Macaca mulatta: one gene and its partners. The main gene of each other region encodes a partner of the protein of the gene in region 4 in a complex. Links are inferred from orthologs where the notes say so. Each region holds a gene or a part of one and is shown on either strand. Other genes may lie near its edges.

Region 1 (4,361 bases), on a different chromosome or scaffold from region 4:
CATAAGCCAGAAACCTATGAGTTACCTTTGATTCCTGTCTTCACTCACTAAAATCAACCCTTCACCAAGTTCCGCCCATTTTACCTCCTACATACCTCTAGAATCTGTCCAATTCTCTGCAGTTCCACCCACTTCTCAGTCCTCACTGACATCTCTGACCAGGATTACTGTATATCCTAAGTGGTCCACATGTATCGACTAGGGCTTCCCCAGCCCCAATCTGTTCACACCACTGAGCCTGAGAAATCAAGCCCCCTCCTCCACCACACCCCACCGGGGGAAGACGGCTCAGTGGTATCCCATCCGTTTTAAAATAAAGCTACAAATTCCTGCAAGGTCTGACCGCTATCACGTACAGCTTCATCTTGTACCATACTCCCCTTCATTCTCTTTGTATCAGTCACACTGGCTCTTTGTGCTTTTAGTCATTTTTCCTCCCAAGTGCCTCAGGGCTCTGAACAAGTAGTTCTCTACGGAAGGTTCTGCCTTTACCTCTTCACTTAATTAATTACAATTCTTCCTGCAGCTACCAGAGCAGGCATCTTTTCCTCTGAAAAACCTTCCTGCTTATTTCAGGCACTCAGCATCAAACAGCACTAGGAGGCATTTCCATGTATTAGTGAGGTCATTGTTTAACGTTTTCCCCACCAGACTTAAACGCCCTGAGAGTAGGGACCGTGTCTGGTTCACGACGTACCCCCAACGCGCTGCTAAATAAATATCAGCTGGACGACTGACGCAATGACCACGTTCATGGGCATGAGTCTCAAATTTCTCAACAAGACTGCGCTCTGGAGAAGGAGTCGGACATTTCCTTCATCATTGTCTCTCTCAGGGGGGCAGAGACTAGGCCCTAATCAAAAACTGCAAAATCAGTGGCAGAAACAAGTCAGCCTCCTCGGCCAAACGGGGCGCCGGAGGAAGTTGGGACACAGGCCTTTCTCCCTGGGAATGCCCGGCACAGGACTGGCCACGACGGGCGCTCTTGAAGAAGGGAGCCGCAGGGACTGGGTCTTGCCGCCAGAGACCCCCAAGGCTCCGCTCCCGCCCGGAAAGGGAGCCCATGCTACTACTTACCACAGCTGGGGACTCGGGGCCCCGCCTCCCACCCCTTGCTATCGGCACCCTCAGCTGAGAAGGGCAGCTTCAGACTGCACAACCGAGGCGTCGCCTTCAGACTCAGGCTGCCACCCACCCAGCTCTTCCTCATACGTACTAGGCGTCAGCTCCAGGCCCCCGAGTCCCGGCGCTGAACTAAACGCCGAGCCCAGTCAGCCAGCGCGTTTCCACCCACAAGACCCAGCGCGCCTAGGGAGGTCGCCAGCTCCGTCCACCAATCCTGGAATCGCACTCTCATGACGTCAGAAAGATATGCCCAATAACAAGAGACTATCCGAGGGCAGTGCAAATGGGTATATTGAAAACCGATTGGTTCTTCCAAGCTGGAAGTTGTGGAGGAAGGACTAAGCTGGAACCAATTGCGTGGCGCCTGAGGGGGGCAGCGCGGTCAGTGGCGGCGCTGAAGAGACCGGTTGCCGCCATGATAGAACAACAGAAGCGTAAGGGCCCAGAGTTGCCGCTGGTTCCAGTCAAGCGGCAGCGGCATGAGTTGCTACTGGGAGCGGGGTCGGGCCCGGGAGCCGGGCAGCAGCAGGCGACGCCGGGAGCTTTGCTGCAAGCGGTAAGTGAAGAAGCAGGCGGCCTTTGGCCCTCAGCTCATCTTCCTCCCCTCAGAGCGCTGTATCTGGTGACCCGGCACCGACCCTTCCCGCATTGCGGGGGGCAGAACGAGAGTTTCTACCTAGAGTTAAAGCACACCAACATTGTAAAAGCGCCTCATAGCCTGCGGATGCTCAGTACTTGTTCGCCCGTTTGGCGCTGGTTTTCAGCCTCTCGACTGCCTTGTGAGGTAGCGTTAGAATTAGCGTTGAGAACCTTGGGCTCACAACCCGGACCCGGGCTTAAGCATCCTGACTCTAACATGGATCTAGCGTAGAACAGAAATTCCGAAGACTTTGTAGAATGAATGAATGAGGGAGGGAGGAAAAGAGGGAAATGATTGGTGTTGGCTCGTTTTGGGACTTTGGGCAAGTTGCTTTTCCCTTTATTTCTCTGCACTAGTATTATTAACAACTGAATAGCAGCTAACATTCGTTGACTCTTGTACTAAGGTGTTTCGTATATGAAATTTCCATTGATCTTGGTAGCAGCCTGTTAGGAACGTTATTAACCCATTTTGCAGATGGAAAAGCAGACTTATCAAGCACGTGATAGAAACAGATGTTGAACTGAGAAACCATGCTCCTAACTATATTTTTTGTAAGATGGAAATAGTGATCACACTTCTAATGCCCTGTTTAGGCTCAGACGAGGAAATACGAGTGTCCTCTCATCTCCTCAATAAATCCTGCTGGCACCGTTCTCAAAATAGATCTAGAATTGCTACTTCTACCATTTCCATCACTGCCTCATGGCCTAAGCCGTTATTATCTCATCTGGCATTTTTGTAGTGGGACCCTAACTGGTCTTCCACTTTCTGCCTTTGTAGCAGCACCTGTTACCAAGCCAATAACCAAAGGAATCCTTCTAAACAACGGATCACATTACATTCTGCAGAAAACTTTCTGGTGGCTTTCTACTTCATCCAGAGTAAAAACCAAAATTCTTATAATTATTTGTCCTCTTTCCCTTTACCTCTCTGACCAATTTCTCATTGCTCACCCGGCTTCAGTTACACTCTCTTCCAAACCTCTGCCTCTGGACCTTTGCATTTGCTGTCCTCCCTATGGGATTGCTCTTCCCAAATGTTCACATGGTTTATTATTCAGCTCCTGCGAATATTTGCCCAAATATAATTTTTTCAGTGAGGGTTTTCCTGACCACCCTGTTTTAAATTGCAGTACCACATAATGTGGAACCCACATTGCTTCTCTCTCTCTCTCTCTCTCTCTCTCTCTCTCTCTCTCTCTCTCTTTTTTCTTTTGAGATAGAATCTCTCTGTGTTGACCACTGGCTCGCTGCATCCTCCGCCACCAGGGATCAAGTAATCCTTCTGCCTCAGCCTCCTGAATAGCTGGGACCACAGACACAGACCACCACACCTAATTGTATTGTATTTTTTTGTAGAGACAGGATTTCACTCCTGAGCTCAAGCAATCTGCACACCTTGGCCTCCCAAAGTGCTGAGATTACAGGCATGAGCCACCTTGCCCATCCCTTCTTTTTTTCTATAGCACATGACACCAAGTATATATTTTGCTTGTTTTCTCTCACCTTCTCTCCTCCCTTCCCCCTTTCCCACTGGAACAGCAAGCTCCATTGTTTATTTTGTTCATAGCTGTTTGCCCAGTGCCTAGCACATAACTTTTTATTTTTAAGATGGGATTTTGCTTTTGTCACCCAGGCTGGAGTGGAATGGCGCGATCTCAGCGCACTACAACCTCCGCCTCCCGGGTTCAAGCGATTCTCCTGCCTCAGCCTCCCGAGTGGCTGGAATTACAGGCGCCCACCACCACGCCTGGCTAGTTTTTGTGTTTTTTTAAGTACAGATGGGGTTTCACCATGTTGGTCAGGCTGGTCTCAAACTCTTAACCTCAAGTGATCTGCCCACCTCAGCCTCCCCAAGTGCTGGGATTACAGGTGTGAGCCACCGTGCCCAGCCTGCACATAACATTTTTTAAAACTAAATGAATGTGGCGGGGCTTGGTGGCGGGCACCTGTAATCCCAGCCACTCAGGAGGCTGATGCAGGAGAATCGCCTGAACCCAGGAGGCGGAGTTTGCAATGAGATGAGATCATGCCATTGTACTCCAGCCTGGGCAACAGAGCAAGACTCCTTCCCAATAAATAAATAAGTAAGAATGTGCTGGAAAGTGCTGAAGAGATTTGGGGATTATGGGTAGTATACTTCTCCCATTTGACAAGTGAGCATATCAGCCCATGTTTAGATGAATTGCCCAAGTGTCATCTTAGTGTCCAAGACCATAATCAAAACTACTTCACCCGTGCTGAGGATCCCTTCGCTATGAAAAAAATAAGAAAGAAAAATAGGCCATGCGCAGTGGCTCATGCCTGTAATCTCAGCACTCTGGGAGGCCAAGGCAGGCAGATCACTTGAGGCTGGGAGTTTGAGACCAGCCTGGCCAACATGGTGAAACCCCATCTCTACTAAAAATGCAAAAACTAGCTGGGCATGGTTGTGCATGCCTGTAATCTTGGCTGCTCGGGAGGCTGAGGCACCAGATCCCTTGAACCCAGAAAGCAGAGGTTGCAGTGAGCCGAGATCACGCCACTGCATGCCAACCTGGGTGACAGAGCAAGACTGTGTCTCAAAACACACACACAAAAAATAAAACAAAACT
Region 2 (3,563 bases), on a different chromosome or scaffold from region 4:
GTTTATTTTGCATTGCTTGCCTGTATCAAAATATCTCATGTACCCCATAAATATATTTCTACTGCGTACCCACAAAAATTAAACACAAAATTTTAAAAAAGAAAGTGTACATAGTAGAAAATGTACAACTACACGTAATTTAATATATATTTTCCCCATAAATATATTTCTACTGCGTACCCACAAAAACACAAAATTTTAAGAAAGTGTACATAGTAGAAAATGTACAACTACACGTAATTTAATATATATTTTAAAATTTTTATTTTTCAAATGATTGTACAGCAAGAGCTTTTTGTTTGACATACAGGTCTAATGAATTGTAATAGATGTATTGATTTGGGTAACCACTACCACAATTAGGATATAGACATTACGTCACCTCAAAAAACACCCCTGTGCTATTTTTTTGTAGTTATATCTTCCTTCACCTCTGACAATCACTGATCTGTTTTCTATCACTATAGTTGTCTTATTTTTTTTCAATAATTTCAGTTCTAATTTATTTTTAATTTTTATGGCTAACATAATAGATGTGCATATTTATGGGCTACATATCAAATCTGATACAAGCATACAGTGTGTAGGCCAGGTATGGTGGCTCATGCCTATAATCCCAGTACTTTGGGAGGCCTAGGCAAGTGGATCTCTTGAGTCCAGGAGTTCAGTACCAGCCTGGGCAACACCACAAAATCCCGTCTACAAAAAATACAAAAATTAGCTATGTGTGGTGGTGCACACCTGTAGTTCCAGCTACTCCAGAGGCTGAAGTGGGAGGATCACTTGGGCTCAGGAGGCGGAGGTTGCAGTGAGCCGGGATCACACTGCTGCACTCCAGCCTGGGCAACACAGTGACACCCTATCTCAAAACAAGAAACAAAGAAAAAAAAGCATACAATGTGGAATGATCAAATCACAGTAATGGGGATATTTATCTCCATGGTAATTGGGATATTATTTCTTTGTATTAGGAACATTTCATTTTACTCTTCTAGTTATTTTGATATATACAATAAATTATTCTTAGCTATAGTCACCCTATTGTGCTACCAAGCTAACTAGCCAAACTAGTGCTACCAAACACTAAATCTTACTCCCTTTATCTAACTGTATTTTTATACCCATTATCCACTCCCTCTTTATCCTCTGCCTCCCTACTATTCTTCCCAACCTCTATTAGCCATCATTCAACTCTCAAGATCATTTATTTTTTAGCTCCCATATATGAGAGAGAGCATGCAGTACTTGTGTTTCTGTGCCTGGCTTATTTCACTTAACATAGTATCTTCCAGTTCCATCCTTCTTGTTGCAAATGACAGAATTTCATTCTTTTTAATGGCTGAGTAGTATTCCATTGTGTGTATGTACCACATTTTATTTATTCATTCACCTCTTGATGGACACTTAGGTTGGTTTAGCTTTGTCTTTTTGACTATGTCATATAAATGGAATCATACAAAATGTGCTTTTTGAGATTGGCTTCCTTCACACAGCTTAATACCTTTGTGAGTCACTGAAGTTGTTGCAAGTATTAATAATGTATTCCTTTTTATTACTGAGTAGTATACATTATATAGATGAGCCACAATTTGTGTATCTATTAACTTGTTGAAGATAATTTAATATTGTAAAATATAACAGTCAAATTATCTTTTAAATTTATGATTTGAAGATGGGAGGGCAATTCAAACTCAGGCTGCAGTTAAACTTAAAAACATTTTAACTTGTATGTTAGCCGCCCGTTCTACTTTGTTTTATACAGGTTATCAGTGGGCATCTTGGCTGGGTTCGATGTATTGCTGTGGAACCTGGAAATCAGTGGTTTGTTACTGGGTCTGCTGACAGAACTATAAAGGTAATAATGAGGGAAGAAAAAATAAACATGACTTTGTGTTTGTCATGTAAGTTTAATCAGTTACTATTTCCTGTGGCAGGAATTGCTATTGCAGTTCCTCTGTTATTTTAGACCTGAATAAGGAGTAAAATTTATCATTTATACGAGTAAGTGTTCTAAATAAATATCTGTTTGAAAAGTGGTATTTAAACCACTTTTTCTTTACCTGCTGAATACCTACCACTAATTCCTTTATACTTACATTTTTGTCTCCAACTGGTTACAAAATTAAGAGCGTGCTCATTCATAGAAAATGTGGAAAATATAGAGAATTATGAAAGTACATAGACCTGTGTATAATCCTACCATTGTTAGATACTTGGATAAGTTTCATTTTAGTATTTATTTCTGTAAGTATAAATGCCTTTACTTCTAAGCTCTTTTCTTGTGTGTGTATCTTTTAAAAATCATTCTTAGTATGTAATTTTGTATCTTGCTTTTTCCCTTAACATTTTATCAAAGGCATATTCCTGTGAAAAATTTACTATCTTTTAAAGTGCCTGCATAATATTGTATCATTTGGATAGTCTATAATCTGTTTTCCTATTGTTGGATGGTAGAGTTTTTAGTCTGATTTTCACCATTACAAGTAATGCTGTTAAGTTTTGTATATAAGACTTTTTCTGTGTTTTAAATTATTTTGTTATGGTAGAGTTCCCTAAATGTAATAAATGGGTCAAATATTTTTGAAGCCGATACCCAAAGTACAAATTACTTTCCAAATGGGTGAATGGATACTTGCAGTGTATGGGAGGATCCTTTTCAGCACATTGGTTGTACATTCCTTTACAAATATCTAATATGGTAAGCAAAAATGGATACTTAATCTTTTTTTAAAAGTTTGTATAGGCTGGGCGCAGTGGCTCACGCCTGTAATCCCAACACTTTGGGAGGCTGAGGCGGGCAGATCATGAGGTCAGGAGATCGAGACCAGCCTGCCTAACACGGTGAAACCCCGTCTCCACTAAAAAATGCAAAAAATTAGCTGGGCATGGTGGTGGGCGCCTGTAATCCCAGCTACTTCAGAGGCTGAGGCAGGAAAATGCCGTGAACTCAGGAGGTGGAGCTTGCAGTGAGCTGAGATCGCGCCACTGCACTCCAACCTGGGCGACAGAGTGAGACTCTGTCTCAAAAAATAAATAACTAAAAAGTTTGTATAAAATTTCTAATGAGTTTGAACTTTTTCATATCTGTATTTGCTGCTTTTAGGGTTTCTTTAAGTTGTTGCCATCCTCGGTTAATTTAATACCATACTTTTCATACTATTATTATCAAAGATTCCATTTATATAACAAGAAGGTTAACCTGTCATCTAATTGCAAATATTTTTCCAGTTTGAGCATGCCAGTTTTTTTCTTGCTTTTATTTGGAGAGGAGTCATTTTACAAAATTTTTTATTTTTACATATTCGTTATCTTTTTCCTCTTCTCTTTGAAAACTCAATTTTAATAATAAAGATTCTAAAATTTTGCTTTGCGGTAACCAGGGAAAGAAAAAAAATATTCTTTGATTGCAGATCTGGGACTTGGCTAGTGGCAAATTAAAACTGTCATTGACTGGGCATATTAGTACTGTGCGGGGCGTGATAGTAAGCACGAGGAGCCCATACCTGTTCTCTTGTGGAGAAGACAAACAAGTAAAATGCTGGGATCTTGAATACAATAAGGTA
Region 3 (3,563 bases), on a different chromosome or scaffold from region 4:
CCCTGTCCCCAACAGTCACCTTTCCACATACAAGCCTAATCTGAGCAGAAGAGACTAAGTTAGCTAGATCATCTTTATACTCTAAAATACACCCACATTTAGACGGTCATCTAAAGTAAGACTAAACAAGTATCTTAAAATGGTATTTGACTTGAGATGCTCACCTCTGGCATGTCTAAACGTGGCTGACTGATGGCTAATTCATAGATTGCCCGTGCTCTGTCAATATCACCAAGGATTGTCTCTAATTCAGCAAATTTAATCCACGAGGTACAATTTTCAGGTCCGAATTCCAGGAACTTTTCATAAAGCTTCCGGCATCTGTCAAATTCTCGAAGCTGTAGCTCCAACTCTATGTAAACTTTAAATAATTTGTTTTTTGGACATTTGCCTATGGAAGTTCCCTGGAAAATAAAATAACCAGACCACTATGATACTGTAGTGGATTCAATTTGTGCAGTTATTGCACTGCCCTAGAGGCTGTCCTCTGCTGAGGAAGAATCTTGCAAAGTCAACGTGGCCTACCGTTCTTTCCCTCTGTGGTATCACAATGTTTACTGATTCTTGACAAAAGGCTGAAGGAAACTCCTCTAATTCATTCAGCAAGAGGCAGTGTTCCAGAATTGTTTGGGCAACTAAATAAAATAAGATTTGAAAGTTTCTCAGGATCTCCTAGGGAATATGGATGTCAGATGCATAACACCTCCTATAAATAAAAAGGACAAGGCATGGTGGCTCATGCCTGTAATCCCAGTATTCTGAGAGGCCAACGTGGGAGGATTATTTCAGCCCAGGAGGCAGAGTTTGCAGTGAGCCAAGATTCCAAGATTGTGCCACTGCATTCCAGCTTGCGGAACAGAGCGAGACCCTGTCTCAAAAAAAAAAAAAAAACAAAAAAACAAAACAAAACAAAAAAAACCAATAAACAGGAAAAGGAAAAAAAAAAAGGAAAAAAAAAAGTAGAACAATTAAAAGTGCGTTTAATACACCAAAAAGCTTGCACAGGATCAGATTACCAATTCTAGTCTGTGGAAAGATCTAGTAACCGGTAGCTAGAGAAGTTTCCAATATTGAAACAAAATGTAATTTACCCCAGGTAATAAGAATAATTTACGCATTATTAGTCAGTGTTTTTACAGAGGATGCATATTTTCTAACATGTCCCAGGCTATAAAGGTATAATACTTCTGTCACTTTCTAAAGTAGGAATTGTATAACTTCCAAGCACCAAGACTTTAATTTCTTTCTCATAGAACTTAATCAGACATCTTGATCCTTTCTTTACTTACCAATGCTCTTCTGGCTAATGACAGATTCTTCTGTCGTATTTCAAACTGTGCATACAGTATCCACATTTTGGCAAATGTGAACTAGAAAACAAAAGCACAAAAATATCTAGCTTAAAAGCCTCATCCAAATTAAATTGAATTAAAGTAAATTTAAATTAACCAAGGCCATTGGTAATTCTATTTCTCTAAAACTTCAGAGTAAGAGGAATGTACTCTGCTTATTTACAAGCAAAAAAGACCACATTCATTTCACAAAAGCTAGAAACCCACATCCCATGATCCAGATACTGCACTGTACTGCCTGGCATGGTAGCCTCTCCTCAGAATCATGATCCAAATACTGTACTGTACTGCATGGCACGATAGCCTCTACTCAGAACAGACTTTGTTTTGTAGGCATGCTTGTATGTGGGCAGAATGTCCTACCTCTATTCTGAAAAGTAACTCTGTCAACACTTCTACAGAAAGAAACACGTTTTGTTTCTCGTGCTGGGAAACAAGGCAGAGGTAACATCTCAACCATCTACACAAGGGGCACATTGATCTGGGCATGGACACACTCGCTGTTACCAACAAATCTGCCTCTGTGTCCCCGACACATGTTGTGTGCTCTCTGCATGGAAATCTTTCTCCCTCCACTCAGACTATTCAAATTACCTAGCCTTCTCTGAATTTCCTTTGTTTGTCAATGCAGGCAGTCCTCCGACCTAGACTGTGAGCTGTGTTCAGAGGCAAGGTGCATATCTCAGTTTTACTTACGTTGTCCATGGTGGGTCAGGGAAATATTTTATCAATCAATATTATTTCACTGAGTTACTTCACAAGTAACAGAAGAGGATTCCGACCTGTTTGAAATGGAACACTTTAGAGCAAACATACCTTTTTGTGAGGAATGAGTTCCAAAGAGGCTTGATACACCTGTCTTGTCCTCTCAGGATCCTGTATTAGGATAAGAAATTTTCACAAAATACTGAAGTCTGCTGCTAACACTCATTTTACTAGTTACTAATTTTGCTGATACTAGTAAAAAGGTACATCCCCAAAACTGAGTATGTTTCACAAGTTGTTACTTGCCAACCCTGATTTATGATCTAAAGTATGAACGGCCATGAAACTTCAGTTTAAGAATCACCAACAAGACACCAAACTCTAAGCCCTTCTTTGTAGAAAGCCTTTTTGCCTGATGGCAGAAAGAAACAAAGACATTTCGTAGTCTCAGATCAAACCCAGAAAGTTAATACAAATGATTTCTGAAAATGCCACTTGAGTTTTCCTAAAAGCAAAAATGCATAATCTAGCCATAATTACCCCTATTAATGAGCAAATCCAGGAAACTATATTTAATTAAACTAAGGGCTGGTTCACCGTTCTCTTTCAAGTTCCAAGTGATATCTTGTTGTGCCTCAAGTAAAAATCAAACCAAAATAAGAAAAGCCCCTCACGTGTGGCCATAACAAGCACAGAGAGTTTAAAATGTTGCAGAGTGAACATCTAACTGTATGGCTTGAACAGAAGCCTATAAAAATTTAAAACTAAATTTCCTTGTTTCAAGAATTATAAATATCCACAATAGGTGAGCTGTGAATACAGAGCAGAGGAAACCATTAACAGCTGACACATAATTCTGTTTTTTCACCTTTGCCTCCAATTCTTCATAGAGTGCATAGTTGATCCAAAGATAAATGTAGCGCTTCCAGTGCCTCTTCTCCTGAATGGGTGGGACATTGGCAATGGCCCTTTCATAGACTTCTCTCACGGCTTCAGCTTCTGCATCACTTTCTACCAAGCGCAAGTAATCAAACCATGCATCGTAATTGTGTGGATTCGCCTAGAAAGACAACCAGTTTAATAAATAAAAAAAAAAACCAAGAGCTGCACTTGCCAGGTTAAGCAAGCTGAAAAAAGGCATCAGGCCGACTTTCTTTATTTTAGCACCTTTTCTTCTAAATTTTACATGTTCTCTCATTTTAAAAACACCATCCCTGAGACTGCATAAATAGAAAAGACACAGGAATACAGAGGTTAGATTACTGGCCAGGTGTCCCACAGCAAGCACCCCTTCATCTATAGTCATCACTCTCATGATAGTCAATAATTAGATGCCTATTCTTACCAATGCATTTGCTTAAATATGTGACTATGTATCATTATGTCTGTAACAACAATAGAATTATATCATGCTCACAATTGTTAAACTTGCCTTTCCAATGAACAGTAATTCATCTTTCACGTATCTTGCCAACCTAGCACCACATTTAATAACAGATTTAGTCC
Region 4 (4,330 bases):
AAGTGCTGGGATTATAGGAAGAGCCACTGCACCTGGCCTTGCTTACTTTTAAATAAGCAGCCACCAGTGATTTTCTCAAGATGTTAGCAAAAATGCAGAAAACAGTTTGCCTGTTCCTTAGTTTGGAGATTTTGTCTTTAACAATTTTCCTGGGCTGGGCGCGGTGGCTCAAGCCTGTAATCCCAGCACTTTGGGAGGCCGAGACGGGCGGATCACAAGGTCAGGAGATCGAGACCATCCTGGTTAATACGGTGAAACCCCGTCTCTACGAAAAAGTACAAAAAACTAGCCGGGCGAGGTGGCGGGCGCCTGTAGTCCCAGCTACTTGGGAGGCTGAGGCAGGAGAATGGCGTGAACCCGGGAGGCGGAGCTTGCAGTGAGCTGAGATCCGGCCACTGTGCTCCAGCCTGGGTGACAGAGCGAGACTCCGTCTCAAAAAAAAAAAAAAAAAAAAAAAAAAAAAAAAAAAAAATTTTCCCCAGTTCCCCAGTTTCTTCCTGCCTAGAGGTCTTCCCTTATGCCTGACCTGTCTTCACTCCTGCTGCAGGCAAACCAATCCTAGCAAAGGTCACTTTTTTGTTTGTTTGAGACAGAGTCTTCCTCTGTCGCTCAGGCTGGAGTGCAGTGGTGGGATCTCGGTTCACTGCAAGCTCCGCTTCGCAGGTACAAACGATTCTCCTGCCTCAGCCTCCCGAGTACCTGGGGCTGCAGGCGCACGCCACCACACCCGGCTAATTTTTATATTTTTAGTAGAGACAGGGTTTAGCCATCTTGGCCAGGCTGGCCTCGAACTCCTGACCTCAAGTGATCTGCCCGTCTTGGCTTCCCAAAGTGCTGGGATTACAGGCGTGAGCCACCGCGCCCGGCCAACACGGCTAATATGCTTCATGAGCATGGACCCCATCTTCCAATCTGAAATAGAATTTCGGTTGTCCCTTACTTTGCAGAGTTTTTGGCGCTATAAAACTTCCATACTTTATTTATTATGTATCCTGTCCCTCCCCCACCGCAAAATGTAAATTTGGTAAGGAACTTTTGATTTGTCCTCTGCTAGATCCCAGCGACGGAAAGCAATGAGCACACATTAGGCCTCCATTAAATTGATTTCACTTGTTGAATGAATGCGTTAGGGAAGCACTCACGGACTGACCATCAGGGGGCGTCAGAGAAACTGGATAGAGGCGGAAATGAAGAAAAAAGAATTACTCCGAACTTTCAGGCATGGTTCCGCGAGGTTTGAACTCGCTCGGCCACCGTAGTGCTTAGAGGCCGGAAAAAGTGCAGCCCCTTCCGGGCTTTGCGGTACCGGACGACGGCTTTGGGATGTCGGAAATTGATCCTAGAGGTCCCAAGGTAGCCGCCTTGCGAAGCTGAGGCTCCAGCCGAGGGCTCCAGGCCTCCGACTGGCCCAGCAGTGAACGGGGCTGCCCGACGCTTCAGGGCTGGGAGCAGGGAGCGTGGGTCGCCATGGCGACGCCGGCGGGGCTGGAGCGCTGGGTTCAGGACGAGCTGCACTCGGTGTTGGGGCTGAGCGAGCGGCACGTCGCCCAGTTCCTGATCGGTACTGCACAGCGCTGCACGTCGGCCGAGGAGTTCGTGCAGCGCCTACGAGACACTGATACTTTGGATCTCAGTGGGCCGGCCCGGGACTTCGCCCTGAGACTCTGGAACAAGGTGTCGGCAGGGTGGGGAGGGGTCCTGTGATTTGTCCCGATGAGGCTGGCCTAACGGTCCATCGAGGAGTTAAGAAAGCTCAGTTCACAAGCACTTATTCTTTGTCCGTTGTCGCCTAGGTACTGTGCTAGCTGCTGGACGCCCAGCTCAGTGGAGAAGATTGAGGAGGGCTTAGGTGTGTCGGGTTAAACGCAATAGAACGGTGTTTTTCGAACTCTTAACATGCATCCAGGGCCCTTGTTAAAATGCAGATTGCGATTCAGTAGGGATCTTAGTTTCTGCATTTCTTTCTTTTTCTTTCTTTCTTTCCTTTTTTTTTTTTTTTGAGAGACACAGCCTCGCTCGCCCTGTCGCCCAGGCTGGAGTGCGGTCATAAGATCACGGCTCACTACAGCGTCGATCTCCCTGGCTGAAGCGACCCTCCCATCTCATCTTCCCCAGTAGCTGGGACTATGGGCATGCGCCACCACCCCCGGCTAATATCTTTCATTTTTATTTTTATTTTTAGAGACGAGGCCTTGGTGTGTTGCGCAGGCTGGTCTCTAACTCCTCAGCTCAAGCAGTCCTCCTCTCTCAGCCCCGCAAAGTGCTGGGATTACAGGCGTGAGCCACCTTGCCCGTCCCCCCTCAGCTTCTGAACTTCCTTTCAGCCGTTTAATTAACAGAGGAGGCCCGGTGCAGTGGCTCACACCTGTAATCCCAGCACCCCAGAAGGCTGAGGCAGGAGGATCATTTGAGCCCAGGAGTTCGAGACCAGCCTGGGCAACATAGTGAAACCTCCCTACAAAAAATTTAAAAATTAATTGGGCGTTGTAGTGTGCACCTGTGTTTCCAGCTACTTAGGAGCCTGAGGTGGGAGGATCACTTGAGCCCAAGAGGGACAGAGTGAAACCCTGTCTGTAAAAAAAGCCAAAAAGCTGTGGGCCCCATTCAGGATGATAAACATGGGGTGAAGCCATGAGGAAGACAGAATGAAGGCTGGTTAGCTGGTTTAAAACTAAGTAATTGTGCCCGGGTGCGGTGGCTCACGCCTGTAATCCCAGCACTTTGGGAGGCCCAGGCAACTGGATCATGAGGTCAGGAGTTTGAGACCAACCTGGCCAACATGGTGAAACCTCATCTCTACTAAAAATACAGAAATTAGTCAGGTGTGGTGGCAGGCGCCTGTAATCCCAGCTACTTGGGAGGCTGAGGCAGGAGAATTGCTTGAACCTAGGAGGTGGAGGTTGAAGTGAGCCGAGATCACACCATTGCACTCCAGCTCCGGGTGACAGACCAAGACTCCATCTCGGCGGGCGGGGGGAGACTAAGTAATTGCTTAAATTAGGAACAGAGCTAGAGCTAAGTGGGAGGGCAGAGATCAGGAGTTGCTCAGACCTCCTTATCTTCCCCTCTACTGACAGGTACCACGAAAGGCAGTGGTAGAAAAGCCAGCGCGGGCAGCAGAGCGAGAGGCCCGAGCCCTGCTGGAGAAGAACCGATCTTATAGGTTGTTGGAAGACAGTGAAGAGAGCAGTGAGGAGACTGTGAGTAGGGCTGGAAGCAGCCTCCAGAAGAAACGTAAAAAGCGGAAACACCTCAGGAAGAAGCGTGAGGAAGAGGAGGAAGAAGAGGAGGAAGAGGCTTCTGAGAAAGGGAAGAAGAAAACAGGGTAAGTCAGAAGCAGGGCGAGGGAGGATGGGGCAGGCTGAAGTGTGCTCGATGCCCTTATTTAATCCCCTGGATGGGCTGCAGGGGGAGTAAACAGCAGACAGAGAAGCCAGAGTCAGAAGATGAGTGGGAACGGACAGAGCGTGAGCGCCTTCAGGACCTGGAGGAGCGTGATGCCTTTGCTGAGAGGGTTCGACAGCGGGACAAGGATCGGACTCGAAATGTCCTGGAGCGGTCAGACAAGAAGGTGAACAGGAGCAGCACGTTCTGTAAATCCCCAAGATCCCAGGGTGAAATGTGAGGTTGGCTGTGATTGCAGAGATGGTGATCTCTGGGAAGACAAGGGGCTTTCTCTAGTGAGATGTTCACCTCTGTGGGGAGAGATGAGGTGAGAGAAGCCCTGTGCATCCTGTGGCTAAGGCAACTCTCTACTGTATCTGCAATCGTACAGATCCCTCACTGAGAGGGGACATTTTTTGTGTTAGGGTACATCTGAATGATCCTTGTGATTCTAAAGAGGAGCAGCTGTCAGTGTGGGGGCTCTTTGGCCTCACACCCCTCCATTCTTGTTTTTTTTTTTTTTCTAGGCTTATGAAGAAGCTCAGAAGCGCCTCAAGATGGCCGAGGAGGACCGGAAGGCCATGGTGAGTCCCAGGGCCCAGGGAGCCAAGATCAGAAGACAAAAGGGAAGACCGTCTGATAGAGTGGTTACGTATAGGGAGAGAGAATACAGAGGAAGCACGGTGTGGATGCTGATGGAGTGGTCAGGTCTCTAGAGGAGGGGCTTGGTTGTCAGGAGCCAGCTGAGGACAGACTTATGTTGTCGAGGGAAGGAGCCCTCTTAAGTTGTAGGGGAAAGGAGGCTACCCATAAGTCCTCCTTGACTCTTAACTTTAGGATCAAACATACTCTATTAGTGAATGAAGTTGTGAGCTTTCCCTATTCCTGAGTCCTAATGAGATGTGAGGCAGCTGGAATGTTGTCAAGAAGGTTGCTGGAGGACAAG

Evidence for each region.
Region 1: DHX16 (region 4) and SNRNP40 share a complex: the UniProt entries of both Homo sapiens proteins name them as parts of the minor spliceosome. The link is inferred for Macaca mulatta from reciprocal best matches to the Homo sapiens genes DHX16 and SNRNP40.
Region 2: DHX16 (region 4) and PLRG1 share a complex: the UniProt entries of both Homo sapiens proteins name them as parts of the minor spliceosome. The link is inferred for Macaca mulatta from reciprocal best matches to the Homo sapiens genes DHX16 and PLRG1.
Region 3: DHX16 (region 4) and CRNKL1 share a complex: the UniProt entries of both Homo sapiens proteins name them as parts of the minor spliceosome. The link is inferred for Macaca mulatta from reciprocal best matches to the Homo sapiens genes DHX16 and CRNKL1.

Annotation. Positions count from the first base shown.
Region 1 is NC_133406.1:209,565,227-209,569,587, forward strand, and holds the start of SNRNP40 (U5 small nuclear ribonucleoprotein 40 kDa protein), read left to right. Parts: upstream 1-1,528; 5' UTR 1,529-1,540; coding exon 1,541-1,681; intron 1,682-4,361. Other genes in the region: ZCCHC17 (zinc finger CCHC domain-containing protein 17), read right to left, coding at 531-542, 1,091-1,210. UniProt on the Homo sapiens protein: Required for pre-mRNA splicing as component of the activated spliceosome. Component of the U5 small nuclear ribonucleoprotein (snRNP) complex and the U4/U6-U5 tri-snRNP complex, building blocks of the spliceosome.
Region 2 is NC_133410.1:163,136,323-163,139,885, reverse strand, and holds part of PLRG1 (pleiotropic regulator 1), read left to right. Parts: exon of another isoform or gene 1-3; intron 4-1,762; coding exon 1,763-1,855; intron 1,856-3,410; coding exon 3,411-3,560; intron 3,561-3,563. UniProt on the Homo sapiens protein: Involved in pre-mRNA splicing as component of the spliceosome. Component of the PRP19-CDC5L complex that forms an integral part of the spliceosome and is required for activating pre-mRNA splicing.
Region 3 is NC_133415.1:63,982,917-63,986,479, reverse strand, and holds part of CRNKL1 (crooked neck-like protein 1), read right to left. Parts: intron 3,118-3,563; coding exon 2,926-3,117; intron 2,229-2,925; coding exon 2,169-2,228; intron 1,371-2,168; coding exon 1,290-1,370; intron 405-1,289; coding exon 165-404; intron 1-164. UniProt on the Homo sapiens protein: Involved in pre-mRNA splicing process. As a component of the minor spliceosome, involved in the splicing of U12-type introns in pre-mRNAs.
Region 4 is NC_133409.1:152,373,168-152,377,497, forward strand, and holds the start of DHX16 (pre-mRNA-splicing factor ATP-dependent RNA helicase DHX16), read left to right. Parts: upstream 1-1,467; coding exon 1,468-1,674; intron 1,675-3,077; coding exon 3,078-3,325; intron 3,326-3,408; coding exon 3,409-3,571; intron 3,572-3,911; coding exon 3,912-3,968; intron 3,969-4,330. UniProt on the Homo sapiens protein: Required for pre-mRNA splicing as a component of the spliceosome. Contributes to pre-mRNA splicing after spliceosome formation and prior to the first transesterification reaction.